7 linked regions of the Nothobranchius furzeri genome follow. The main gene of each other region encodes a partner of the protein of the gene in region 6 in a complex. Links are inferred from orthologs where the notes say so. Each region holds a gene or a part of one and is shown on either strand. Other genes may lie near its edges.

Evidence for each region.
Region 1: e2f4 (region 6) and rbl1 share a complex: the UniProt entries of both Homo sapiens proteins name them as parts of the DREAM complex. The link is inferred for Nothobranchius furzeri from reciprocal best matches to the Homo sapiens genes E2F4 and RBL1.
Region 2: e2f4 (region 6) and tfdp1a share a complex: the UniProt entries of both Homo sapiens proteins name them as parts of the DREAM complex. The link is inferred for Nothobranchius furzeri from reciprocal best matches to the Homo sapiens genes E2F4 and TFDP1.
Region 3: e2f4 (region 6) and mybl1 share a complex: the UniProt entries of both Homo sapiens proteins name them as parts of the DREAM complex. The link is inferred for Nothobranchius furzeri from reciprocal best matches to the Homo sapiens genes E2F4 and MYBL1.
Region 4: e2f4 (region 6) and rbl2 share a complex: the UniProt entries of both Homo sapiens proteins name them as parts of the DREAM complex. The link is inferred for Nothobranchius furzeri from reciprocal best matches to the Homo sapiens genes E2F4 and RBL2.
Region 5: e2f4 (region 6) and mybl2b share a complex: the UniProt entries of both Homo sapiens proteins name them as parts of the DREAM complex. The link is inferred for Nothobranchius furzeri from reciprocal best matches to the Homo sapiens genes E2F4 and MYBL2.
Region 7: e2f4 (region 6) and lin52 share a complex: the UniProt entries of both Homo sapiens proteins name them as parts of the DREAM complex. The link is inferred for Nothobranchius furzeri from reciprocal best matches to the Homo sapiens genes E2F4 and LIN52.

The regions. Positions count from the first base shown.
Region 1 is NC_091743.1:73,525,420-73,528,584, forward strand, and holds part of rbl1 (retinoblastoma-like protein 1), read right to left. Parts: intron 2,303-3,165; coding exon 2,115-2,302; intron 2,000-2,114; coding exon 1,823-1,999; intron 1,286-1,822; coding exon 1,214-1,285; intron 1,138-1,213; coding exon 1,050-1,137; intron 1-1,049. UniProt on the Homo sapiens protein: Key regulator of entry into cell division. Directly involved in heterochromatin formation by maintaining overall chromatin structure and, in particular, that of constitutive heterochromatin by stabilizing histone methylation.
Region 2 is NC_091754.1:25,779,357-25,783,637, reverse strand, and holds the start of tfdp1a (transcription factor Dp-1), read right to left. Parts: upstream 2,801-4,281; 5' UTR 2,573-2,800; intron 1,317-2,572; exon of another isoform or gene 1,192-1,316; intron 911-1,191; exon of another isoform or gene 764-910; intron 442-763; 5' UTR 369-441; coding exon 357-368; intron 93-356; coding exon 26-92; intron 1-25. UniProt on the Homo sapiens protein: Can stimulate E2F-dependent transcription.
Region 3 is NC_091747.1:51,691,765-51,695,959, forward strand, and holds the start of mybl1 (myb-related protein A), read right to left. Parts: upstream 2,805-4,195; 5' UTR 2,184-2,804; coding exon 2,161-2,183; intron 746-2,160; coding exon 646-745; intron 502-645; coding exon 430-501; intron 288-429; coding exon 195-287; intron 1-194. UniProt on the Homo sapiens protein: Transcription factor that specifically recognizes the sequence 5'-YAAC[GT]G-3'.
Region 4 is NC_091744.1:80,482,576-80,486,681, reverse strand, and holds the start of rbl2 (retinoblastoma-like protein 2), read right to left. Parts: upstream 2,887-4,106; 5' UTR 2,669-2,886; coding exon 2,531-2,668; intron 2,465-2,530; exon of another isoform or gene 2,412-2,464; coding exon of another isoform or gene 2,373-2,411; intron 1,944-2,372; coding exon 1,813-1,943; intron 1,734-1,812; coding exon 1,533-1,733; intron 1,325-1,532; exon of another isoform or gene 1,202-1,324; intron 1,067-1,201; exon of another isoform or gene 993-1,066; intron 1-992. UniProt on the Homo sapiens protein: Key regulator of entry into cell division. Directly involved in heterochromatin formation by maintaining overall chromatin structure and, in particular, that of constitutive heterochromatin by stabilizing histone methylation.
Region 5 is NC_091743.1:41,536,601-41,540,780, reverse strand, and holds the start of mybl2b (v-myb avian myeloblastosis viral oncogene homolog-like 2b), read right to left. Parts: upstream 2,810-4,180; 5' UTR 2,626-2,809; coding exon 2,606-2,625; intron 2,215-2,605; coding exon 2,118-2,214; intron 2,044-2,117; coding exon 1,972-2,043; intron 1,888-1,971; coding exon 1,795-1,887; intron 1,706-1,794; coding exon 1,485-1,705; intron 1,382-1,484; coding exon 1,249-1,381; intron 1,160-1,248; coding exon 1,100-1,159; intron 1,025-1,099; coding exon 818-1,024; intron 520-817; coding exon 247-519; intron 1-246. Other genes in the region: uncharacterized protein, read left to right, coding at 3,787-3,820, 3,891-4,180. UniProt on the Homo sapiens protein: Transcription factor involved in the regulation of cell survival, proliferation, and differentiation. Transactivates the expression of the CLU gene.
Region 6 is NC_091744.1:86,783,121-86,787,270, forward strand, and holds the start of e2f4 (transcription factor E2F4), read right to left. Parts: upstream 2,805-4,150; 5' UTR 2,671-2,804; coding exon 2,509-2,670; intron 1,369-2,508; coding exon 1,259-1,368; intron 353-1,258; coding exon 191-352; intron 1-190. UniProt on the Homo sapiens protein: Transcription activator that binds DNA cooperatively with DP proteins through the E2 recognition site, 5'-TTTC[CG]CGC-3' found in the promoter region of a number of genes whose products are involved in cell cycle regulation or in DNA replication.
Region 7 is NC_091758.1:32,967,488-32,971,814, reverse strand, and holds the start of lin52 (protein lin-52 homolog), read right to left. Parts: upstream 2,863-4,327; 5' UTR 2,780-2,862; coding exon 2,761-2,779; intron 1,519-2,760; coding exon 1,444-1,518; intron 1,369-1,443; coding exon 1,331-1,368; intron 1,237-1,330; coding exon 1,170-1,236; intron 988-1,169; coding exon 904-987; intron 1-903.

The sequences.
Region 1 (3,165 bases), on a different chromosome or scaffold from region 6:
TCCTCAGACGGCCCCTGGATGTGTCGCCACACTGGAGACAGGAACAAACGCTATTCAGCCAAAGTTTCATCATCAGGGAACATTTTCTAAGAGTCCAGCTCAGATGTTCAGATGGGAATCTTTTCTTGAGTGATTTAGCTACATCTGTGATGTGCCTAACGAATAAAATGTCAGTTCGTCTGCATGCGTTGGGGTAATTCTTTCTATTCTTTCTCCGTCAAACAAACGGCCAAATACGGAAACTGTCCGGTCAACACAACACAAGCCCTGCTTTTAACTGTTCTGTTTTCTGGTGAAAATTGTTACAAATTTAACTTGATTAACACCAGAGCCAGGCGCACTGCGCCGTTATCTCCGTCACTGTAAATGAGGGGAAAACAAATTGATCGGATCCTTTTCTGACCTTCCCCACCTACAAAGTTTAATTACAACAATCAAACGTGACAGAGCCTGGATTTGTATTCTGAACAGTCTAAACATGTTTTAAAAAGAAACGTACAACAAAAGTGGCACCTGCTCAGTAAAACCACCAACAGGGTGAAAAATATCAAAATACTGTAGGCAGAGACGGGCTACAACTTCTGGATCCATTTTATATAAATCATTTTATTGATTATCTTCTTATGAAAGACAGCTTTTATGTACACGAGCGACCGGTACTGGCTGCTGTCACCTGTTGTGATTGGTTAAAGCAGCTCTCTGCTGTCTGAGGGTAGGCCCCGCCCACAACGTCGCGGCTGCTGTGGCTCCGTGTTTTCTTTACTGTGGGAAACGGGTAATAATGGCTCTTTGATGGGAACAGGTTGCCGACCCCTGGTCTAATCAGTCATCTATGTATTATTTTATGCGACGTTCATGATGAACCCTGATGAACTTTGCTGGCCAAACCTGGAAAATCATTTGTTAATGTTTATGTATTTAGTCTGAAGAGGCAAACATCAGTTTTCTAGCTAAATAAAAAAAAAAAAAAAATTGACCTATATTTTTGGCTAAAATGCCTTTAGAGGAGATCTAAATGTGTTTGTATGGAAGCGTGTGTCTGATCTTACATTCTCCACCCGACACAGCATCCACCTCCATGTTCTCGTCAGCTGGCTGCGCTTTGGGAGTCCGCCGTAACAAGACGCTGCGGTAAACCTGATCACACAGACAGCGTAAGCCTCCAGCAGATGCGAGGTGTAACTTAGATTTCAGCGGTTTTTGTGTTTCTCACATGGCTGCTGGCTTGGGGCTGGCTGCGGTAACACTTCATGATGTCCTGGAAGGTGTGAGTCTCTTTGGTGATCTGAGAGGAGAGCATTAAAGCCGTGCTTAAAGGAACATAAGTTACACCAGCTGATCCAATAACCGACCTGCCAGGATTTTTAGCATAACCACAGAGAGCAGAATCCTTTTAATTCATAAAATCTATAAAACGAGCAGCTTTTCTATGTTTGATAACAGGAAGTTGCACCCAGGGCATCAAGGACAGCTCGCTTTTATTAACCAATACACATTTTTGGTCTGTAATATTTTAGTGGAGGCTTTTAAACTGACAGCAGAAACTCACTGGCAAAAAGGAGCCCAGACTGGCTGATGTTGTTCGTCATATAACCACTGTTTGGATCTCCTCATCATTAAAGTGAATCCCAGAGTCCTCAGTCTGACTAGTTGTGTGTTCGGCTGACTTCATTCAGCCTGAGAAGACGTTTGGTTCTTGGTTCGTTAACGTGTTGCAAATAGTTTCTCTACGATCGCGCAGAAGCTGCTGTTCAGTGAAACACTCTGCTGGCTGGCATTTTCCTACACAGCTGCTTCGTTAACTCTTAGTTATCGTTCTTACTTTGGATATTATATAAATGCTGCACAGCAGCAGCTGGTCGAGATGTCGATCCTTCATCAGCTCAGTGCAGTGAACCAGCGCGTGCTCAAAACATGTCCAGATTTTTCCTCGCAGCTCTGAGGAGATTTCCAACTTCAGGCACAAATCCCTCAGGCGTACACTGGCCAGGTGATACACCTGGAGGGAGGGGGAGACAGAGAGAGAGAGTTAGTCAGAGGAAAGACAAATGTCCAGCAGAAGATAAACAATCATCGTTTATTTTTTTAAATAAACAAGTGAAAATCTTTCTCACCTTCCTGAAGAACAGAGCGATTGACCCGGTGCATCGAGGCCGCCCGTTCCCCATCTGAGGGTCAGAGGTCGAGGCAGCAGTGAAGTTCCGGCTCGGAGAGGCGGTCAGCAGAAACTGAGCTGTGACGACGCCAGAAGAGTCACACGGCTGGACTGGGATCAGTGTAATGGTACGGTCGCTGCTCACGCCTGAAAATATTCACACAAGAACAGATGCTGCAATCAAATTCACATTTTATTAACCTCCCAGGAGCTTAGCTGTTGTAACCTTTGATTTATATATACTGTATATATATATTAGGGGTGGTACTTTAACGTTAATTATGATCAATTAATTAGAAAACAATTATGTGTTAAAAAAATTCACACATTTAATCACAACTTGTATTTCAAGCAAGGCGGAACCTTTGTCCTTGCATGATTTCCTCGTAGAGCGAATATCACTGACACACAACACAGTGCTCTGATATAACGGGTACTAAAACAGAAAGAAATCGTCTCGCTTGGACCAATGCAGTATTTGGGAAACACGTCACCCTCTTCTCTTAACTTGTTAAAAACAAAACCTTCCTGACAACTACGGAGTCCGTGTCGCGGGCAGAGATCGTCTCTGCTGCTGCTGCTGCTGCCCGGTGGCACCGGAAACTTTACAAAAGGTGAGATAAGCTATATTTTTAACATTTATGTAACATTTGTGCAGCTTTGAGGGCACTTTTTCCCGAACGATTAAAATGCGACTAATTAGAAAGCCTCTAATTAACTAGATTAATTATATATATATTATATATATTATTATTATATTATATTTTTATATATATATATTTTTTTACTGAGAAGCAAAACATTTTTTGTGAAGATAATCAAGTTTTGAATCAATAATCCTAAAAATAGCAAAAAGAATGATTAAAAATAACAAATCCTAAGTCAGATGTTCAGAGCTTTATGCTGAGGGTCAGTTACTATCATTTAATTACAATAAAACAAAATTCAGGAGTTTCATTATATGTTAAACACATTTCTGCAAAGAAAAAAGACTCATTTAGGTGAAATTA
Region 2 (4,281 bases), on a different chromosome or scaffold from region 6:
AAGTCAAAAGATGGTTCAGTTATACCTTTGCTAGGGCTCAGATTCTGATCGATGAAAACCTTCAGCTCTCCATTTGTTTCAATCAAACCAGCCTGTAAAAGACAAAACTCATTATGCTGCAAATATAGAATATTAAAAATAATATAAGATAGTAGTGATGCAATAATGGATGCTTAAGTGTGCATATCTCCTTAAATTACACCAAATGGGTAATTGGATCATTTTGCAATTTGGGTTTATTGTCAAACATTAATGATGGTTTAGAATAATAGGTATGCTAAAACAACAAGAACCATCTCATCTGGCTACAAGATATAATGTGCATATGGATGAAAATATTGAGGGAAATTACTCACATCTTTAGCCATGATCCCAAAGGACCTGAAGGAGTTTAGTTCAGATTAAAAAATTGTTCCTTCTGTCACTCAAGTGTTCAGACCCCTGCAGAAGAAATGAAAGCTGTGAGCAAAAGTTTCAAGCTTCACTTATTTATAACATTTTCCTATAAATCCCCACGGCACAGATGGATTTGAATGAGCTTTTGCACTCATTTATGAACCCAGGCCCATTTCAATGGTTGGCTATGAGCACAGCACACTACACTAAGCTAATTCCATCATCATGTTTACTCCACTTTTTCCTCAGTTAGCAAAACAAACCTGGCGGAAATTACAGCTAATTGTACAAACCGCTGCGTCATTAGCCTTTAGATGTAAACACAAAAAAGCACAGTCAACCCTCACTTGATGCCCACAACTTTTACCAAGCTATGTGTGCACAAGGCCTACTTCAGGTACCGATCACGTCCGGAGGAGAGGCATCGTCCAACTTCTGCTACAGGTCACGAAAACGTGCCAACTTTGACGAAACTGTTGATTTTTCTCCACGGAGATTAAAATATAGTTACAGATAGTAAATCAGTCCACCACAGAAGCAGGTTTCACACCACATGTCAGTAATAATGAACAATCTTTTGTTGACTACAGCCGGCTAACCGTTACTGCTAACAGCCTGCTGCTCCTTAGCTTGCTAGTTAGCTTATGCACGTTTTCACACGATTGGCAGAAAATTCAGAGATTTCTGGTCCGAGCTGCAGATTATAGCCTTCTTTAAGTAAGAACTGATATTGGAAAAAAGCACTGCGCGTTTTGCACGATTAGAGGGGTTTAAATTGCGAATCCGTGCACTTACGAGTGCACTCTCTTGTCTCTTCGACGGCTGTTGTTGTTGGCATTAGAGAATGGAGGAAGAGGAGGTCTAAATCCCATCCAAACAGGAAACAAACTCAGCAATCCTAATGTACTTTTAAAACTATTTTATTCATAAATCAAAGTTATTCCTTTAAAGAACTTAAGCATATGATTAAAGAGTTGTTTTTCCTCAGGTCAGTTTTTTGTCGCTATGTCAAAAACTGATACCAGGATTTGCCTGTTGGTCGAGTCTGGCAGCTGACTAACCATTAAACATCATTCATCTCATCAGAGAAACTGATCACAAAAGCAAGCAAAATGAGCTGTACAACATTTTTGTCATGAATATAATGCACTAACCAGTTTTCAAGTTAAATTAAACCTAACATTTTAAAACTGCATATTATGGTAAATAAACAACAGTATGTTAACAGGTACTACATTTCAATTTAATAAACATACAACATAATGTGTGGATCAAGCCCATAGATTTGATCTACATTTCTTCTAAAAGGAGTTCATATTAAAGTAATTAAGTCAAAGAAGTGAATAAAAAACTATATTGACACCATTAATTCAGGGACCTGGGCCTGCAAAAGGAATCAGTTGAAATAGCAAATTTAATATATAATGTTAATCGGAAATAAACAAGTTATACAAATGTAAAGTAATTTTATATTTTGGGATTCCGCAATTATCTGCTACAACTGATCACATTCTCTTAAACGTTCTCAGTAGTTTTGATCTCATTCATGGGCCTCTTGGTCACAACAACCTAGTAAATCAGAACAAAACAAATCTAATTAATCGATATTTTAGCTTTTTGTGCAAAAAGTACACTTTTGAAAAAGTTAAAAACTTCATTGAAATGTTTCAAGCCAATTAATCACGCTTTAAATTTTTATTTAAATGAATATGTGGCTTAAACAAATAAAATTTGTTTATTTTAATTCGTTACAGTAAAAGAAAGTGAAAGCTCTTTCTACATTCAGATGAGTTACATATTTCAAACTTCATGTCTGCGGACTATTTAAACAAGTCCTGTTGCATATTCTGTTTAGTAAGTTATAACCGTGGTAATAGAAACCATGACAAGATCGTTAAGTAGATCGATGATCAACACTTCGCTAGTTAGCAACTGGTTATCAAAGCTACGAGCTAACTCGATATCAATGAGAAATCGCAACCTCCAGCGCTTTGTTAGCCCACTAGCTAGCCAGCAAGCTAACTACCAGCTGTCATCGAGAAAGTTTACCATTGTTAGCTTCGTGTGATATCAACACTTTTTCATGTCGACCAAGACATAAAGGCCGTTTAAACACTTGTATATGAGCTCTGGTCTGCGCCGGGTGGGAAGCCACCCTACAGTGGATGCATCTTACCAGAGCACTTCACGTTAGCACACCGTCAGCTAGCCTTTCCACGGCTCTCTGCTAGCCTGTCGCTTTCAGCAGTGCCTCTCACAATCTGATCTTGGCGGCGTCTCGCTACAGCGGCGTCTGATTGGACAACACTGGTGTGACGTAACCATAGCAGTGACGTGAGTCGTGCCCACAACCTACTTCTCCTGGGATTGGTGGAGAGCAGGCAGCTGCAGGGATGCATTTACCGCCATCTGTTGCGCAGGAGTAGGAGGAGGATTTTTCATTAGTCGCTATTATATCTACCAGGAATAGTTTTTAGGCCTGTCACTTTTATTTCCTCTTTAATTCGATTGAAAAAAATACCACACACCACACTGAATGATGCCAAATTTCAGCTGATATATCTGAATAGAATAGAATAGAATAGAATAGAATGGAATAGAATAGAATAGAACAATCCCACAGTAGGGAAATTCACTTGTTACAGCAGCACCAACACTTAAGAGAACAATTTGATTTAAAAAAATAACAAATACATTTGCATACAATGTATACAATTGGAAGGCTGCCTTTCCGTGTCTTGGCCCATCACTTGGTCAGATTATCAATGGGAGCCTCTGCACAGGTGTGGTCCCAGCTGCTTTGAAAGCAGCAGTTATTCGGCCGACCCTGAAGAAACCTTATGCTGATGTCTATGTGATAGAAAATTACAGGCCTATCTCTACCCTGCCTTTCACATCAAAACTGCTTGAGAAAGTCGTTTATCAGCAGCTGGTCTCACATTTAGCTGACGCTGATCTGTTTGAGGTTTTCCAATCAGGGTTCAGGTCTGGCCATAGCACAGAGTCGGCTCTACTGAGGGTCCTAAATGACATCTATCTATCACTAGATCAGGGTACATCTGTGGTGCTTCTGTTGTTAGACCTGACGGCAGCCTTCGACACAGTTGACCACGCGATTCTACTAGATCGCTTGGAACGATGGGTTGGGATCAAAGGGTCTGCTCTGGATTGGTTTGGATCTCCACAACAGAACATTCTGCGTTAAACTGGGTGATGTTTTTTCTTCTTGGGAGGGGCTCCGCTGGGGGGTCCCGCAGGGATCGATCCTTGGTCCTCTTTTGTTTGCCATTTATCTGCTTCCTCTGGGGTCAATCTTTCGTAAACATGGCCTATCATTCCATCTCTATGCTGACGATTGCCAGATTGATGCTCCATTGTGTCAGGAGAAAGGTCACTATATCCAGTCCTTTGTGTCCTGCATTAACGAGGTGGAGTCTTGGCTAATGGCCAACGTTCTGCATCTGAATGAGGGAAAGACAGAGCTCATTGTTTTTCACCCCAACAGCAGGAATGTGGATCGTCATGTTGATCTTGGCCCTCTTTCTCCCTACTCAAAACCAGTTGTCACCAGTTTGGGGGTGAAAATTGATGCTGGACTTAAATTTGATGCACACATCAACTCTGTGATCCGGTCCAGTTTCTTTCACCTGAGACGTCTTGCTAAAATCAAGCCTATGCTGTCAAGAGCCCACCTGGAGTAGGTACTGCATGCATTTGTAATTTCTAGGCTTGATTACTGCAACTCTCTATATGCAGGTTTGTGTCAGTCATCAATGTGTCGCCTACAGGTTGTGCAGAACAGCGCAGCCAGGTTCCTGACTGGGACCAGGAAACAGGACCACATCAGTCCGGTTCTGACCTCCCTGCACTGGCTTCCGGTTTGCT
Region 3 (4,195 bases), on a different chromosome or scaffold from region 6:
CACACACAAATAGGAAAAGGGGCGGGTGGGGGATAAATAAACCCAATTTAAGCGGGAAAACAGCTGCGTGAGGACACAACAGGTTCTCTGAGTGTCATAGATATTACGTTCTTCACAAACTCCCTACAGCTCTGCTATCCTTCTGCTCTTTAGTCATCCCTCTCTCCCAAACAGAACCTCCCAGCTCCACTTACCTTTTGATCCTCCTCTTTTGTCCACGGTCCTTTTACCAGCTCGGGGTTGAGCACCTTCTGCCAGCGGTGCTGACACTGACCATCTGTCCTCCCCTGTGACACAAAGTGTAACACCTTTTGTCAGCTACAATGACAGCTGTGTTTAACTGTATCTTTGCAGTTACACATCCAAATGCAGCTGGTGCAGGTAAGAGTCAGAAGGAGATATTAAAAATGATTTCTGTTTAATACTCACAGGAAAAAGGTTAGCGATTAATTTCCAGGATTCAGTTCCATGCTGCTCTATGAGTTTCTTCAGTTTTTCATCCTTAAAAAATAGAATAACAGAAAATATAGACGGTGAGAATTAAATGTTAACCCTGATCTTTCTAAATGAGGGTGCAATTAAAGTTGTTCTTACATATTAGGGCGGCAGTCATTTACATTTTTAGTCTGAACTTGAAAAACTCACTTCATCCCGAGACCACTTGACTTTGCACAGCGTCTTTTTATCTTTGTTCTTTTCTTTACTCTCTGGATCTGTGGAAAGCAGCTCGTCGTCTTCATCAGTGCTAAAACACACAGGTGAAAAAAGCAGAAAAAAGTAAAAACACTATTGTTTTCTGCTCACCATCAGTGCCTTAGGAGTGTTTTCTTCTCAACAACTAAACCAGGTCCCATTTCAGTTCTTCACTGCATTCTTGGGAGATTACAAAAGCCCAGTTTTACCATGCTAAATCTAATTCAGAATGTTGGCATTAACTACTTGTTTGACCGGATTTGTGCAACACTGACTTAGGTTTTGTATCTGAGTAAGAAAAAAAGACGTTCTTTGCTGTAGAAACCTTTATGAGGCCAGATTTTCTCACTTTGAGCAGGAGAAAAGTGACCGAGTCTGGACGTAAAGTCGAACAGGAAGGAGAGGTGTAATGAAACTGGTGATCTCGCATCAACAGCAGCCTTTCAGTAGCAGAGGTGCATGAGAGTGAGCCTCTGTGAATAAGGTGGAGGTGTGGTCAAAGGCTTGGCAAAGCCCTAACGGTCCACTGGTTCAAAATACAAAATAAACACACTAATATAAAGTCCTGGCATTTAGCTTAGCATAATTTTAAATCACATAGCAATACCTGGAATACTTTTTACCAATAATATCAAAATGTCCTAATTTTTTAGGACTGAAACTGACCCTGATAAACAAAAGAAAGATTTCAGTGATGATTTATATTTTAGTTGCGACAGTTTTGCTGGTTATTTAAATTAATAAAAAATCAAAAAACAGTTTAACATGATCATTTCAACAATTTAGTTTGTTTGACACGGTTTTGTGAGTTAGATGCCAAAAACACAGATTTTCATAATCAGTAACCAACGAATAAATACAGCAATCAATGTGACATTTTGCATCATAATATGGCAACATTTGATTAGGAATCACATGACTCAAGTATTTACTGCTTTTGGTTTAAATTACTTCTCAACTCAGAGACAGAGTACATTAAAAGAGCTTCATGGACTTATAGGTTTATTTCTCCACGTCTTTTTTGCCCTGCAGTAAAAAAAAGGAATGAAGGGGGGAAATAGTAGTAAACTGCAGTATGCACTTTAGTCTTGCTTTTTATTCATTTATGTTGATGTATTTAGCAGACGCTTTTGTCCAAAGTGACTTTCAAGTTATAATAAAGTCAGCAGGTTATCCTTGAGGCTAACAAAAATATTTAGGGTTAATTCAGCCAGTACTACACTTTTGGGTAATGCTCTTTTGAATTATTATGCTATTATTATTATTATTATTATTGTTGTTGTTCTTTATTATATCCCTCTACAGTAGATCTTCTGAGATGTTCAGGTGCACATGAACGTTAACGCCCACCCTGCTTCCACAACATTCAGGCTGAATTATCCAAAATTATTACATTTATAGGCTGATAAGATCACAAGGGGCAAACAAAAAGATGGCAAGTGAACCATATCTAATAAAATCACCTACCTGCGTGACTTGACGTTGTCCATAGCCAGTAGGATGATTGAATATTATCAAAGACGAAGCTGTGTTTGGAAATTTTCTGAAGTCCCGCATTAACAGAGGTTTATCCATAGAAACTGATGTTAGTCATTGCTGTTTTGTTTGCGGTAACTGTGCGGCTAGCTAACGGGCTAACTGTCTTCATAACATTGCTCTCTGTGCAAACGCCATTTTCACTTCCGATAAAATCGTCTCGGCAGATATGAAAGTCGTCCTTGTGTCCCTTGCTGGTACGTCTTTCTTAAAAATGTAGTGTTACACAACAAAACGCCGGAATTTAGATAGAGGAACCGACACATTACTTTCATTACTCGCCGTCAGAACGGGTTCTCGTAATCTTTCCCCTGTGCGTACAGCTCCGTGGCGTTATGATTTTTGTCCATCCCGCCGATTCTCGCGCCCAGCCCTCTGCGCAGGCGGCCTCGGTTCCTATTGGTCAAAACTGGGCTGCCAAAAAAAAGAAGTGAATGCTCAAAGCTAATAGGTCAATTGAGGAGGAACTGTTCGTAACCGATTGGTTGAATTTTTCACGAGCGTACTCTTCATTGGATGAGATTTGAGGGAGGCGGGTGTTCACTTTCACAACTCCTCGGGAGAATGGATGTGGTGGGTTCAGACGGGTTGACGGGGCTGCGGGGGCTTTGGTCCTTTGGGGATGTTGGTGACAGAAGATGTGGAACCTATTTTCCCATAAAACAAACATTTGCACATTTAATCACTCATATCTTAAACATATAGCTCCTCGTGAAGTTCTTCGCAGATCATGTAGGGTTCGTGTGCAAAACTGTGAAATGTATGTTGCTCATAATTGGCATGATAAAACATCTGTGACTCAAAATATTACATCATCTTTGTGATATAATAATATTTGCATTGTGTTTGAGAGCGAACTTTCTCTGCCGCCTTAAGAAACTGGAATTTGCTGCCATCTAGTGGGCATTTAGACTTTCACCGGTGTTTTTCCCATTTTCCCCGTGACATGCAATCTTAGCATTAGTATCTCTGAATTTTTTTTATTGCAGTGGTTAGCAGACAAACTATCTATAATAACAATAGAAAGTTTTCTTTTGTTCCCCTGTAAGCCTTTAAAATTTTGGATGCAAATTATGAGACATTTTACAGTTTTCTAATAGTAGGTGTCCCTCATGTGTCCCATTTTCACTGTTAGACTACTGTGTGCTTCTTAAAGACGGAAAAGCGGAAGTAGGATCGTTGTATTCTGATGAAAATAAAAGCCTCTTTAATTCCACTCACGTTATTATAAATAATAATTACAATAACAATATGAAATAATAATAATAATAATCAAATTATACTGTGCGATTTCACACAATTTTGAATCTGATTACAAAATGAGCAATTTCCTATTGCATCATAATTGCACAAGTATTTTTAGACTACCAGCATAAAGATAACAGCGACTGAATTAAAGCTTGTTTGAATTATGCAAAGAGCTTGTTAGAAATCAGAGTAATGGCCTAAAATGCTGCAGAAAGACTTGGATTGTAGCTGCAAGAAATAATACATGTGTGCATATATCTGTTTTTGTAAAAATCATAATAAATAAAGACATATAAATATACATAAAATGTGTAAAAGACTTTGTTACCTAGTTTTATTTTGAAATAAAGAAAATGTGGTTGATAGAGTATTTGGCTGCTGGTATTAATATTTGGAACCTTGTGCAGGAAAAACACACAAATTCCTGCTTCTCCTGACGTTCATGAGAGGTGAGGAAATGCTTTTATTTGTGTGTTGAGCTGTTTTTTGCTTCAGGTTTAATATTGTCCTGATTTTTTAATATAGTGTAACACAAAAGATTATTCTTATAGTTTGTCTTGTACTTCTAGCCTATATACTTTTGTTTTTTTCTTTTGTCTGAATTTATTTGGAAATCCACGTCTTTCCATTTGTAGTTAACCCTATGGTTGTTTGCTTTTTACTTGATGTGACGTGTGACTGCTAAAATAAACTCACTCTCCATTTCCCTATTAAAACT
Region 4 (4,106 bases), about 6.3 Mb from region 6:
CATGCTGCATGTTTTCTCCGTCTTCCAGAAAAAACTGTAAACTAGACTTCCTACTTTCTAACGATCAGCCAAAGGGATCTTCACATGCGCGGCGCTCCAGCAGTAATGAGTTGAAATCACCGGGGCACAGATTATGAACTCAGCTGAGGCAAAGCACGTCAGAAAAGCACAAAATACCAGAGAACATGCGCTGATATGAACGATCGCAAGTGAATTATTTTGTTTTAGTGGAGCGATTTTGTGAATATAACAGCGGCCGCGTGCAGGACGCAGCTGAGCCGTTACCGCTGCGTCCTCTCTGCCCGCAAAGCTGAGTCCATAAATGACGTCATATATGCAGATACTGGATCTTTCTTCGGGTTTCCCGTAATTTGAATTTTTAAGGAACACGTCTTGATTCTGGGTTTAAAAATGCATTGTAATTACCGCGTTACTGACAATTGTACCGAGTAAATATTACCATTTTCTTTCCCTGTAATGCCTTACATTACCACATTACAGCAAAAAGCAATGCATTACAGTAATTAATTACTTTTGTACCGCATTACTCCCAACACTGCTTTTAACAGCTTCTAAAGATTGTTCCCCGATTTTGCAGCTATAATTGTTATATTTATAATTACAAAGTAAGAGAGACGTGGTTCGCATAATTTAGCTAATATCAGTCCACAATGCCGCAGGCTCGGAGTGAGTGTTGTGTGTGTGACGATGTCACAGATGGGTTCAGGTAGAGTTAGTAATCTCAGCGCTGATGCAAAGTTGGAGGGACACTGAGGAGCAGCTCCTCCTGCTGCAGACCTGACCCGGATCTGAACTGGTTCTGAGTCCGGTTCTCATTAAAACATGTCTGATTCTGGACCCTGAGTTAGTTCTGAGAGCAGTCAGATCTGTGTTATTGCCGTGTTATAAAGCACATGAATTAGACAGTTAGTTTTGTACATGATCTAAGTTACTAACCTCCCACAACAACGTGATGTTATTATTGTTTTCAGGCTAAATCTACCAAAGAAACCAGACTGATGTAGTCCTCCACCAGCCTGCACCGGTCCAGGCTAGAGCCTTGCAGGTGAGTTATTTTTAACCATCTGTCTCTCTTTACCTTGCAGTTTTAACATTATGTCATTTTAGCTTACCGTTACACACGTGTATTGCTGCTCTTAAACACTACGATAATATTTGCAATTTCTTTGTTTTTCCGTAGCCTCCCAGCAGCAGCGTGTCTGACACTGGGACCATGATGGGAACTCCACCCAGAGATTTGTCTTACAGCTAATTTTATTTGTGTCTTTAAATTATAATCTGATTTATGTTGTCACTCCTGGAAAGAACGCTGAATTACTTCTATGCCTGAAATGTGCTATACAAATAAAGTTACCTCGCCTAAGGAAAGGTCAAAGGTCATCCTAGTTAACAGTTCAATTCTGTGTTTAATCTATGGGAAACTAAATCTTGCAAAGGTGATTTCAGCCAACCAGACCCAGAACAGGAAGCAGGTGGACTCTAACGAAGGGTCGGAGGTCACGTGGACCCACCTCTGTTTGCGACTGCGATGGACCCGAAGCAGCTCCTCTGATGGGGTCTTGAAGATGGATCTGAAGATGGGAACGTACTTCTTGAAGATGACGGCTGAAACGGTGAAGTTCCGCTCCAGCTTGTCGGTACTCTGACAGAAGTCCTGTGGCAGCTTGGCCATGTCCTGCCACTTCTTCATCTTACTGAAGAACTCGATGAGGCTGGAAGAACATCAGAACCGCTCAGCAGATCCCGTCACATGACCTCCTAGCAGCCGAGTTATGGACCAAACACACAAACCTGATGTGAGAGCAGCGCAGGACTCTGGTCAGTGACACGTAGTTCCCCTCAGTAGTCCCCTTCCCCACCGTGGGCACCGAAGACCTGCAGGCCACGTAGAGCGCACAGGCCAGCCAGTGCAGCTCGCTGCCCTGCACACACAACGGTTCTGATTACTGCACCAGCTGGTTATGGGTTAGGGTATAGGTTCGGCATAGTGGAGTCACTAAAATGAATGGAAGTCAAAAGAGGTCCACATAAACATATAAATACAAGTGTGTGTGTGTGTGTGTGTGTGTGTGTGTGTGTGTGTGTGTATTTCAGGAAAACAACTACACATACCGGCCTAGGTCTATCTGCCTGTCTATTTAGTAAGAGAGAGGAGTATTATATTATTGTATGCATCTCCATCTCTCTACATATATCGAGAGAGAGAGAGAGAGAGAGAGAGAGAGAGAGAGAGAGAGAGAGAGAGAGAGAGAGAGAGAGAGAGAGAGAGAGAGAGAGAGAGAGAGAGAGAGAGAGAGAGAGAGAGAGAGAGAGAAAACACCTGAAGTCATAGCTCAGAAGAAACACCAGACCTCATTGGTGCTGCATCCAGAAAAAGGAGATGCGTGCATCTGCAAAAGGCTGCTGCCATGTTGAACGAGGCGGTTCCTGCTGAGTTGGAGACCTAGATGACATTTCATGTCAGACGTTTTGGCCCGAATGGACCGAACCCTCACCAGCACCTGCTTACCTCCAGAGTGAAGTTCCTGCTGATGTTCTCGTAGCTACTCCACGCTTCGGTACTCGCCTCTTCGTCCATGTTCAGAGCTCGGCACAGATCCTCGAACCTGGTTCGGATCTTCACAAGGCGCTCCTCCTCGTCGCTCATGTTCGTCTTCGGGACCGAACCGAACCGAACGGACAAAGCGCGCCTTTAGGGTGGAGCGGACGAGGCTGGCGCAGTTGTAGCGGCAGTAACGGCGTTATTACGGTGCTGCGCGGATCGGCTGTGTAGCCATTTAAATGTCCTCTGACAGATGCGCGAGCTGTGACGTTTTTGACGTACACAGCGCAGCCAACCACGGAGGGAACGTCACATGTGTGCGTGCATACGTTAGAGAATCGCGGCAGCAACGTAACTCACCCCAGCCCACTAAACTTGCGTAGCGTAAGCCAAATACAACTACTTCCGGTTGCTCTTGTTTTCTGACGTCCACCGAAACGCCATCAAACTTGATTGTTTTTAAAGCACGTGACCGTTAGCGGTGCTAGCCAACACGACTCAGCAACAAAGCGTGGCTCTGGTGCTCAGACTGGTTCTGTTAAGCTGCTCGTGAGTCCCTCATCAAGTGTTACATGTTTGAGGTTTGGCCCACAAGGTGCAGTAACAGCCTTTTACCAGTAGGTGGCGCAAGGAAGCCTGCAGAGAGCCGTGACGTCTGTTGTTTTATTTCAGCTAGGACTTTGTTTTAAAATGGGAAAATGTATTTTGTTTTTTTCGCAAGCACAGAAAGGAAGATGTATACTTTGTTATAAATTTGTTAATTATTCTAGCTAAATTCTATCTCCACAAATGCAAGTATAGTAACTAAAAACCTAATTTCAAGCACTATTATAGTGACACTCTATCTTACATAAAATTGATTAGTGGATCACTAAACAAAAAAGCTTTAAAAACTATAACTATTTGCACCACCTATAATTTATTTGGATGTGTGTAACATTTCTGTAGTGCACCCCCTGGCATATGTTTCATCTTTGTTCAATTTTGTATGCAATTTGTTTGTATACTTATCACCTTGTTCAATAAAGTTTTGAAAAAAAAGTCTGTTATTTTATTTTGTTTAATTGTGCATGCAATTTGTGTGTATACTCATCACCATGTTCAATAAAGCTTTTATTTAAAAAAAGTCTGTTATTTTATTTCCTGCTTACTCCTAGGCCCATCTGTTCAGGACTCTGGTACCGCGGTACCTATTACACACCAGCTAATAAGCCCTGGTTATTAAAGACTGGGTTGGACTAATCTTACTTTAGTGTTTATTTCAGGTGATGAGGATCAGTCAGGACGGGTCCAGACTGGTTTGTGCTTATGCACCAAACTGCTGCAGCCTATACCCACTTTTTTTGGAGTTCCTGGAGGAGGTTCTCGAGCGTGCTCTTTCTGGTTACTCCCTCGTTGACCTGGGTAGTGATGTGACATTCATGAATGAATCAAATCTTTTGAACGGGTTTTCAAAGTGAATGATGAGAGCCGAGACCCTGTAGAGAGCCGTTCATCTTAACAAACCTCTCTGGAAGTCGGTCAGACTCACCCGCTCAAACCC
Region 5 (4,180 bases), on a different chromosome or scaffold from region 6:
AATCATCTCTTCAGCTTTAATGTGTTCATTCTATGCAAAACCTGCTGATTTTAGAAGCACTGATGTCAGTATTTGGATATCGGCCCAAAAATGTCATATCGGTGCATTTATTTCTGTCCTGCTGCCATTAAGCCTCTTTTAGGCGAAGAACCGAAGAAGTTCAGTTGCCTTCATCAGACTACCATGACCCGGATGACGGAGACGTGTAACCAGCGTCGGTGCCGTCAGCATGGAGCTTTTCCTCACCTGTGACGGAGAAAAGGGCAGGATTTTGACAGGGGTGCTCTTTGGAGTCATGGACCGATTGACGTCTGGAGACAGGGCGATGCGTCTCCGGCTGCGGCGGGACAGAATGGAGGGAGGGGTGATTCCTCCGGGGGAGATGGGGATGAGTTCTCCCTTGCTGCACTTGCTCAGCTCCTGCAAGGCGCTGCCCTCCAGACGGAACTGGTGGCGCTCGGGGCTGGGGCTGTCCTCGGGCAAGTCGAAGGCTGCCAGGTTGCACCAGCCGTCCAAGTCCTCCACCAACAGGAGATATCGTTTTATTTACAAGTCTGGTATCCGCTAGATTTTACAAAGAGTCGACTAAATAGAATAGAATAGAATAGAATAGAATAATCCTTTAAAACAACACGGACAGAAAAAGGCACCACCTGGATTTAACTGCTGCACCGGTGATCATCTTTCTGCTGCAACTGGTTATTTAACTAAACCGGAGCAACGAGTTGCTTCTCATTTCTTATAATCAAATACGATTAAACTTTAGTTAGTTTCAGAGATGCGTTTGTTATTTTTCTGGTGAATTATGGGTATTTACCCCGTCTACCATGTCCAGCACTTCCTTCAGCACAGGGCCTGTAGGGTAGAGGAAACCAGAGCTGTCCACCACCCAGTTGGAACTGTTCGTCTCTCCTGTGGAGTCCACATCGGTCTTGGGGCTTGACACGTCCTTTAGAGAGGAGACAGCCCTGGACGACTCTGCTTCGTGGGAATTCTTAGCAGGAGCCGATGGTTCCTGTGACTTCTGTAAAAACATAAGGACTGATGGCTGATGCAACATTTAAGCTCATAGTTTTTAATAGATGCGATGATTTCTTACTAAAAGTCGGACTTTTGAATCCGTTTCTTTGTCCGAACCATCCTGAGAGCATCCAGCGACCTGTTGGTTCACCACAGACAAGATGTTCGAATCAGAAACACGTGAGACTGCTGCTGATGTAGGAGGCTTGGTGGAGGGAGACGACCCACCAGCACGTCTTTACTAACGCGCGCCAGCAGCTCCTCCAGCTCGTTTGCTCTGAAAACCTCGCTGGCGTAGAAGCCCATCTCCAGCTTTCGTTTTATAGTGGAGTTCCAGTGATTCTTCACAGCATTATCCGTCCTGTTAAACGATGTACAAGACCTTTCAGCAGAAGATTCAGCTTCAACCACAAATCAGTGCATCCTCCCACTTGTTTAGAAAACAGGAAGCAACATTTTCCGACCTTCCAGGAAGCAGCTTGGCGATCTCGGCCCAGCGGTTTCCAAGCAGACAGTGGGCCTTGTAGATGATCAGGTCCTCCTCAGCAGTCCACGATGACTTCTTCACGTTGGGGTTGAGGTGGTTGTGCCAGCGCTCCCTACACTGCTTTCCCAGTCTGCCCTTCAGGTGCTTGGCTACCATCGCCCACTGTTTGTTACCGTAGAGATTAACAAGCTCTATGACCTGGAAGAAAAACAAACAATTCAGTTGCATCTTTTTGACAATCTCAAGAAATATTCTACACTTGATCCACAACACGAAACGCAGCCCACCTTCTCATCCTCCTCTTTGGTCCAAGGACCTTTGACCAGTTCTGGATCCAAGACCTTCAACCAGCGGTGCTGACACTGGTGCTCGGTGTGAGTCTGAAGAATGCAAAGAGAGGCACGAACGAGCTAAAGGAGTGACTCGAAGACGGTAACACTAAAGACCAGAACAGCGGGACTCACTGGGATGCAGCTGGCAACACGTTTCCAATCATTCTGACCCAGTTTTAGAACCAGCACTTTAAGCTTCTCATCCTGTAAAGACAACCCAGTGTGTTCAGGTCTGCTGACCCACAACGACGTGATCTGGGACAAGTCAGCACACTCACCTCCTCCTGAGTCCACTTCACCTTCACCTTCCCTCCATCCCTGGGCTCGGCCACATCAGAATCAGTGTCCTGATGCATGGCCTCGTCTGCATCCTCGCTGAGAAACACATGTGCACAGCTGATTAATGAAGACACCAGGAGTTAGCCAGTGCCCGCCCTAAGGCCATACAGGCGGGGGGAGGCTAAACGAGCGGACTTGCGCGTTTTCATGGTTATATTATTTATAATTCACTAGCTACAACCAACAGTACTGCTGAGGGCAGGACAAGGATTCATTTGCTCAGACTTGTTGTTCGTGATTACAGCCCGGAAAAGGGCGGCAGTCGTGAGTCACAATTCCAACAATAAAACTCCTCCTAACGTGTTTCCCTTCCGCTAACTGCAGCTGCAAATGCATCTAAGCTAGGCAGTAACGTCCAGACATCAGTAGATTAACAAGTTCTGCTACTGTCAAAAACAACATCCGGCAACAACGATCGATCTCTTACCCGCGCGACCACGAAGACATTTCTCTGCTTCACTTGTTTACTTTGTCACACGGCGATATTCCCTCCTTCCGCCGCGCGCGCACAGAGGTGTTTACGTTGGAGTGGACCGTTGTCCCGGTGTGGTTCTGAGGGGCCGGCGCTGGAGGTTCTGTGTACCGACAGCAGCAGCCGCTGAGCGCCCATTCCGACCGCGCTTCTTATTTCTATCTCGCGCCCTTCACTCTCGTTCGACCAGAGCAGTGACGTAGATGCGCACCAGATCTGCGCGGTCGAACCAGTCAGGCGCAGGAAGATGTCAAACTTCCCACCAGACTTTCAAAATAAAAGAACGAGGAGCGTAGCAAGCTTTTGTTTATTCTAGAAATTTCACAATTTCTCTCGAAACTTCTTAACTCAAAAACAAGAAACACGTTTCTTCAATTGTCCTTTCTTCTGATTAATCCTAGTATATTTATTTATTTTATCCACTTAATGTAATTGGCTTGTAATCAATATATTTAGCCAAATATGTGATTTTCCTCTGGAGGTCAAATTAAAAGGCACTCCCTCTGTAAGTGTAAAAACAATATTGTGGTAAAATATAAACACTAAACTATTCCACTATGAAATCTAACATATGCTATACCTCTATTTCTTTCTCTAACTTGCCAGATAACCCTTTTATCAATGTGTCATGTTTAATTAAATGAGTCCTAAATACTCGCCATAACTTTATTTAAATATATTTACTTTGTGGTGAATTTGAGTAAAAGATCAGGGACAATAAGCTATGGAACCAATCGACAGAGGTGTCATTAGTATCAAATTGTTATAGATGTATATAAACTTGCATAAAACTGGACAGAAACCAAACAAAGACCTTTATTATGAAACTTTGAAAATAAATATAATTAATCACCAAGATATGAGACACAAAGAGCCTCTTGTGGCCCCAAGTTGCAGATTACTATGATCATGTGCTGTAAATTTGTCTTGTTTTCTTTTCAATAAAGATTTAAAAGCCATTCTAATCATTTTATAAATGAAACAGTATTTTTTAAAGCAGAACTGCAAACACACATCGGCCCAAACAGAAAACGTTTCCTCTGATCCCGACTGATGAGCAGCCTCCAGCTGGGCCAATTAACAAGCAGCTTCAACCATTTAAAGCCACCTGCTGCTGGCCAGGTGTTTGAAGACCAATGGACACCATGGACAAAGCTTTTGTTTTTAAAGGTAAGCATGCTGGTGATTTTGTTGCTACCTTTGATGAGAAGCTCACATTCTTAACTACTTATCTTTCTAGATCTGAAAAGCTTTGAGTGCTCATCTCCATCAGAGCTGGACAGGAAGTTCTTTGGAGAACAGGGTTTGCTGTCTGCTTTGTCTTTGGAGTACCTGTCCCTCTCCAGAGCATCAAATGAAGCTGTAGCGAACAGATCTGAGGGCAGAGTATCTATCCTGGCTTCCCTCTGTCTGTCAACGGATCTCCTTTCTCCTTGTCGGGGGTTTTCGTTTCTGGGCTCCGGCTCCAACACACAAGAGGCTGATGGCTGCACCCTGACCGTGCCCATGCAGGGGAAATTTTCCACGCCC
Region 6 (4,150 bases):
GTCTGGCTTTAAATCATGTGAAAAGTCACAACTTTTTACAGACTGAGTGATAATCTGTGTGACTTTTAAGTGCAAAATTGGTCGAATACCCCTTTAGGTGACCAGGTGCTCACAGTCCACATTATTACAAAACTCTCTCTTGAAAAAGTTTAAACATCCGCATGCACGCACACACAGCAGTGAAAGATATGGGCTGTTGTTGGAGTCGTCTGTGACATTCTTGATGCTTTGTTGAACCCAGACTCTTTGCTGGTCCAGCTCGTGTTCCCGGACAGCCAAGTCGTCTAGCTCAGCCTTTAGATCAATCAGCTTATCTGCAATCTCCCTGGTGTTGCAGCCAGGGCCGACACCCCTGAAACACATTGGTAAGCACGTGGTCATTCACATTCAACAGGCAAAGAAAACTCGCCGTCAACCTTTTTCCCAGCATAAACGATGAACTTGTAGCCAAAACAAGCTGCAGATAGATTCATCTCACGTCTAACTCAGGTAGAAGACATGCTAATCAGCCATGCTCATAGTCATTTCCCTTACGGCATTGTTTTATGTATGTAGGACATTAAAGAGCAAGTCACCCCCAAATCAACTTATTTTCTGATAAACTACATAAATGCGTGTCTAATCGTGCTGCAGACACGTGTAGTCAATAGTTTTGCACTTTAGTGCATTTTAGTTCAAATTTAAATTTTCTGCCTAAAACTGTCAGTGTTGTGCCGTTGTCAGGTAAAAACTCTGCACTGTATTTGAATTTAAATCTGTCATCGCTATTGGCTAAGAGGTACCCTAGAATGTTAGCTGGTTCCATATGATGTCACAATGTCGTTGTGATCCTGTGTGTGTTTGTTAGCGGCTCCACCCTCTCGGTCTGCTAGGCAACAGCATTTGTTGCATTTTTCAAACAGGAAGTGGGAGGGGAGTAAGAATCTGGTAGGGGGTGACTTGCTCTTTAAGTGTTAAGGACTGCTGCAAAACCTCAAAGTCATAAATATCCTCAAAGTATTGGCATATGATATGTTAGTATGATTACATATAACAAACATCACTACAGTTTAAAAATTGAAAGGTGAGGCTCAGACAATCGTGTTCAGAAAACTGCAGCCGATTCAGACGTAATCCCTGTTACATAAGACAATGATGAAAACATGAAGGCTTGATGTTTCATGAAAACATGAAACATGAAGGCTAAGAACAATTTATTACAGACTGCAGTTATAAATTCTAGTCTTTTCATGAAGCCATACATACAAATAAAACTTACTTCCATTGAATACTGTTCTTAGATTTCTTCTCTATAAGACCAATTCCTTCCAGGACATTAGTAATGTCGTATATACGTCGTTTTTGCCGCACTGCCAAGGTATCTGCTGCCTGAAAGAAAAAGGACAAATACAATGAATAAAATATGAATAACAAACACACATTTGGCTCTTTTGCACAGAAAATGTCATGGCTGAGTGTAAAATACACAAAAAAGATATATTTTACAAACCATCTGGGTGTGACATCTACACTTCCTGCCCAGCCAAGTCTTTGGGTCTTAGGAGATAAAAACAATTTGCAAGGAGCTGATAAGTCTAAGCTTTTTCAAATAGCTGGACTTAAGTCAGTTGGACTGAACGAAAGAGAAAGAAAAACATCTGAGCGTCTGGTATTTTATGATCTGCAGAGTGCAATGCAACCATAAGTGCCCGCAGCCAGGAAGCTAGTTTATGAAATTATGAAGTCAAGTTAATCTAAACACCACCTGGTTTACTAGACTTTGGCTCAGAGGTGGCACTGTGTTTATAAATGTTTCTGTTTTGGAGCATTACTAATCTGACAAGTCTGAGGTATCTGAATTCAGATGTTTGTCAGGACATGTGTATTAGTAGTACTGCATCAAATAAGTAGGTTAGTTCTCAGCATCTTGACATTACTGAGGAGGCATATCCACTACTTCTACGTGTTTAAACACAAAGATTTGCACGTTTTTGGAATCGGACTTGATAAAAACCAATAAGGAGCTATGCTGCGTTTGTGTACCTAATGGAAGTGGGCAGGTCTCATTAAAAAAACAACACATTTAAGATATTTCCTAAAACTAACGCAGTGGGGGTGCTTATCGTTCAGAGAGAAAAGGCCATACCCATCAGAAAAAAGAAACTGCTCAAGTGTGAAGATGCCACACTATGTTACTAGCAACAAAAGCTGACCCACTTTTGAGAGTTTGAATCTGCAGGGGGCAGAGCGAGTCTGAAAAGTTGGCCGGTGTTGTTTTCAAAGTTAATTTCACGTCTGACTGAACGGTTCGTGTCTATGGGACGCTAACACACCGAGTCACCAAAATAAACAAAGTTAGAGTATCACAAATGTTCAAATACTGTAAACCCCGAAGCTAACAGGTTACATCCATTCAAATTAGCATGACAGAGCTAAGCTAAGCTAATATGCTAGCGAAAGTAACGACAGCGGGTAGGCTCTGTATGACATGTGCTAGCTGACAACAAAGACTCCGGGTTGAATGCTCACAGCTTTCAAATCCAGCACTCCGTCTTTCGCCTCCTGTAGCAAGGTCACGAATTTGGTCGTGAGCAGTCCCAGGCTCTTTTCATGCCTGCTTGGGGTCTGTGGCTGCAGCGAATCTCCCACCGCTCCCGGGTCGCCTCGGTTACTAGCCGACTCCAGCTCCATCACTCGGGACAAGCTCCGTACTTCCCCCCGCTTCCCCGACCAGTTCCAACCCGCGAGCACAGGAGAGCTCCACCGCCGGAGTCGAGTACACAGCAGCCCGAGATTGCGTGGTGGTGTTTTTTTAATCCGTGTGGATTAGATTAGAAAATAGTTGCCCAAATGTATCTGAACACGATGAGTGCTGTAATTCAATGAGCAGGCAGTCGGTGGTAGAGAGCCGTTGGCCACGCGAGGTATGACGGGACGGTTCAATCGTACAAGGGAGTGTCTGAGAATACTCACGTTGTTTAGAAGACGTGTACAAAAATAAAATAGTGGCTGCTTAATTTAAAACAAAAGTTCATTAAAATTAGCTGGTAAATATTTTATATTACAGATGAGTTGTATCAGAATATGTTTGCATTGTCTTTACGTATTGGTTGCATCCATTAAAATTATGAATTATACGTATTTATTTAATACTACAATTTATGTGCTTACCCTTATCTACCCAAACACGCACACGAACAGACGCGCACTTTTACGTGCGCAAAAAACCCCACTAAAGTCTGCACGTTCTTAGTAGTTCATTTGCATGCAAATTAATTGATTATGTTTCGTTATTATTTACTGTAATTTTGTTTGTTAAATTTTTACTTTATTCTTCGTGTCAGTTGGACCAAGAGATGAGCAAGACTCAAGTCAAGGCCCGGTCATTTGTTTTTCATCACATCTACGAATTATTTACACAAAACCCAGCTTTAAACGTCCAGGAAGGCATATTTTTGTTATGGAGATGTGACAAGCTGTCATAAATGAAAAGAAAAATATCATACACGGGTGTTGCCATATTACTTAAACAATGCATTGGTACATCTGCTAGTTACAAAAGAATGAATCATATTCCATTAATTATTTTCTTATCCTATAATAACCAAGTTATTTTGCAGTATGGTTTTGACACACACTAGTTGTCAACCTTCCGTACTTTAGCTTTGTGTACAGTGTATAATTATTGTCTTTCCAGAACTGCGCTGCTCTGGGCGGCTGCATGTTGGAGTTGACTATGTGTAAGTTTTGCCTTTTCTTGGGCATTTTTCTTCTAGTTTCTCAAAAAAAACTGTATTTTTTGGACACTTTACTTTTCTGTTTCTGGTGCTGTGAAGCTTGGAGGATTTTTACTGCTATGTTTTAGCTTTTTTCACTTTTTGAGCATTTGTTATGATGCGTAACTATGGCAACAAATGGTTTACAATCAGGAGCAGCTGATTAACATTGGAAAGGCTGAAATATTACCTCAACTGAAGCCACAAATCCCAAATGAGCTAAACGCAAGAAGCGTGGGTGCAGAGCGGGAGCAAAACGGAGACAGAGAAAGAGGAAATTCAAACCATCTCTTCCATCGATCATAATGGGCGATGTGAGATCACTGGCCAACAAGATGGAGGAACTCCAAGCCCTTTCAAGGACTCAGCCAGAGTGTCGGCAGTTTCGAAACCAC
Region 7 (4,327 bases), on a different chromosome or scaffold from region 6:
CTGCGGCCCTGCACCTATGACAGCTAGCGTCTTCATACCAGAGCCACTACACACTTCCTCTGCTGGAGGCAAGGCAAACAAATCATTTCTAAAATTAATTATTTCACAAAATGAATCAATCTGATTTCTGCAACATTAAAATATTGATTTGCTTTACCACCAAATGTAGATCACTCTGGGGTGATTTTTTTATTATAGATGAACATTTTCTTGTTAAAGTGGCATTAAAGTTTTATTAAACCTTCTACAAACTATTTATTATCATTAAAGAACCGACATCATGGCTGCCATCTACCCTGCTGTTTAAACTCACATTATTTTACACAATTTGCTACCATTTCAGTTTATTTACACATGTCGCTGAAGAGGAGGTGTACAACGATTCTCTTACGCTAGAAACATTAAAAACATTTTTATCTTCTTTTAGGATAATATCAGCACTTAGCTACATCTCTCTAATCCACACTCCAGAAGGATTATTACAATGGAGGCGGGAGGGAATGGATTAAAACAAGAGCTTGTGCATCCATCATATTCTTGAGCATTTGCTTGTGTGAGCTCTTGGTGGCATGCACTCATTTCTTACTTGTTTACATTTAACAAGACTGACCTAAATCCTTGTTTTAAAGATCTTACGGCCAACCTGTTTTATGCAGACTCTAAATTACAATTGCACTTTCAATAACATCTACTCTGATTTTGAATAATAAATAACATCCATGTGATTTTAGCCTATTTTGAACAAACAAAAAGTAAATCTGATTCTGCAACTAAACGTAGTAGTGGAAAGGCTACTAGCACCACCTGGTGGTGATAGACGTAAACAGCTGATTGGGAAAACTAAAAACTACACGAACACATCACAGCCTATGTTTTCATGTTGTTTGTGTGTTTTGTACTTACACTCCTCTAAACCCAGCTGGTAAGCCAGGTTCTGAAGTCCTTTGACCTTCTCCATCAGGTTAGCTGTTGTCAGACTACCCAGCTCTGCAGAGTGATTACAAGGCAAAGATTTTAAGCTCCAGTTTGATCAACTCAGTTTCTCCTTGACAAGATTATATATTTATGGAAACACTAACCAGTACAACAGTTTTAACATGAAACGCTGCAGGCACAGAGAAAATCTTTCTAATTAAACATATATTAAAAAAAAAAACAATTGTACCAACCTTTTAACATCTCGATGTCCTCGCTTTCCAATTCAGCCATCCACTTAGGGGGTGAGCTTGTAATGGGCTGTAATAAAAATAAATGATATTATACGGCAATGCCAAATCTAAATGATTATTTAATGTATTAATCTCAGTTAATGACAAAAAACGTATCTTACGTTTTTATAGGATGCAGCAAATTCTGCAACTCCGGGTACTGTGTGAGAAATGACAGGACAGATAAGGTTAAACTGTGGGACCATAAAGAAGCACAGAGGAGATGAAAACTTACACTGCTCAGGCCACAGGTCTGGTGACGCTCTGTCCAGCTTTTCTAAACTAAGCAAAGAGCTTTCAAAATCATCACCTGGCAAAGAAAAGGAAGTAAAATTATGTTCAGAATTCAGGCAGAAATTTCAGAGCTTTAGAACAAAATGTGATCTTCTTGATGTAAATACAAGTAAAATGTGTGACTTATGGACCATTCCCATCTGTACCGGGTCGGCCCGGGCCGGGTAGCCCCAGTCGGCCCCATCCTGGCCCGGTTGATTCCACACATCCTTGTCTTACGCCCATGTGGGCTGATTCTACCCACCAATCAGAGGCTTGCTCTAATGGAAGGTGTGAATTTGCTGTCAGCAGTGGGTGTGTTGGCCCTGGTCGGCCTGAAGCAGACCCCCTCGAGAAGAGGGCTGAGAATGAGCCTTGGTTGGTCCGGAAAAATACCAGGCCACCCAGATATGTAAACAACCAACGCTACCCGGCCCGGACCGACCCGGTACAGATGGGAATGGCCCATATGACTACAGCCAAACAAATGTCAAAATGTAACCACAACAGTTAATACAATATGTTGGCTGTATTAAAACAAAATATGTGTACAAGATAAATACTGATTAATCAGCTGTTCTTAAAAAAATTACTAATATTTGGGAGGTTTAGTTTATTTATCATACCTTTCATTTTTAAATGTTGCTTGATTCAAGTCCCTATACAACCATTTCTGCTAGGCTGTGACAACAACTGTGTGCTGATTATTCAAAAACTATTCTTAAAACCAATATTTAGTGTAACAATTTGTGTTAGCATTATGCTTCCTAATACATGACCCTACATAGTGTGTGTGTGTGTACATATATATATATATATATATATATATATATATATATATATATATATATATATATATATATATATATATATATATATATATAACCTTTCAAAAACCTTTCAAAATATGTTGATGTGAAACAAATAATGCCTCAAAATGTTGGAAAAATGTCGTAAATATTAATTATTAGGCCAGTATTTAACAAAGAGGCAACTCAAAAGCTAGTAGTATTTAAAATATCAGGAGTTACGGAAGGTCTGCAGCCAGCTGTCTACTGTTCTTCCTTGAACGTTGGTGGACTAACAACACCGGGGCTAGTGGAGCCTTCAGTCAAACAAAACCACCTCCGAGAAGTCGGACTACAACGCTGATATGTGTAGTTCTGAATTCTGGGTGTTCAGCTACATCATCAATACATTCGTGGAATAATTTGTGTGATTTAAAGTGTTAAATTTTACATTTTTTAACAGCGTATCTGTGTAAGGAATTAAAATTTACCTCCATTCGGAGACGCCATCTTCACAATAATCACGTGACCCGTGACAACGAATAGGAGTCAATGTTGACAAAGCCTTGTAAATTCACAAACACACCACAAGAGGTCACTCTTACACACCAAAGCCGTGTTCCTGGGGGTAAAATGAATAAACTAATAATTTTATAATAAGTGTCAGGGGCGATCCTAGCATCAGAGGTTTAGGGGTGCTAAGCACACAGCGAGTTCCATGGCCAGGCAAGATACATTTCAACATTTTGTACAATTTTACACAATTTCATTCCAACATTTGTGAAAGAAAAGAAAATCGGTGTTTTTACAAATAGATCTGTGGTTTTACATATCACAATCTATGTTGAACAGATTTTGCTATCTGTGTACAACAATTTGGTCCAAGTTCGAAGAGTCTGGGTCAGTGGTTCCCAACCCTTTTTCTTTGATGACCCAATACAGGATCTATTTTATGGTTTTTGGTGCAATATTTTCTAACAGTGAGTGAAAGTCCGTTTTATTTATTTCTTTTTTTTGTTTGTTTGTTTTATTCATTTATTTAGAAGTTCGATTCTGAACATTCTAATGTTAACAAGAGTTTTATTTGCTGCATTTTAAAGGGTGTACTTGCATTATTATGATATATTAAAATTATATAAGTGATTATTTTGGTCTCGATAATGTCAACAATAATATTGTTTATTGGCAATAATTTGTTGGACAATATATTGTCCTGCAAAATCTGTTATCGTCCCAGGCCTAGTTCACTTGTACAAACTACTTAAAAATTAAAAATCAGCAAATCTATTTTATTTTTCTGTGTACAACAAAATTTTAGCTATTAGCTATAGCTGGGGCTATTAGCAGTTAAAACAGAGATGGATTTTTTTTAAGCTTTATTAAAATAAGAGGCTAAATATTCTCTTCAGAATGTCTAAAAGGAACGTGCAGTACCAGATTTCAGTTGGAAATTAGAGTGTCGTTCTATTTATTGCCAGCGGAGCTAGCAACTATATGTGATTGAATTTTTGAAAAATCTAAAGAGGCTAAATATTCCCTTCTAAATGGATTTAAAAATCGGATGTGCAGTATCAAATTTCAGACACTAGAGGGCAGCAAATACTCCCTTCTTGTCTGCATGCAGTTGGAAACCTGTGTTGTTCTGTTATTTGCCAGCAGAGGGCGCACATTCTCCATTCTTTCAACGAAACAAGTGTTTTAAAAAATAGAGCAAGAGTTTCTACTAAGTCCGTCTTGTAAAAATCTATTTAGACAAAGAACAAAAAGAACCCATATTCAATTTGGTTACTTGTTTCTTAACTTATAAACTTTCTAAATAAATTATATCACTTAAAAGTAATGCAGGTTTTAAATTAGTGTTAACAGCATAGTCAAAATAATGTGAAAGCCAGACGTTTTCACTTAAACCTATTAAAACTCAACAAATCTATTTATTTTCTGTGTTCAACTGAAACTTTGTCAACGAACTACAGCTGGAGATATTAGCAGCTAGCAACTAAACATTACAATTTCTTTTAAAGCTTTATTAAGATAAAGAGGCTAATAATATTCTCTTCT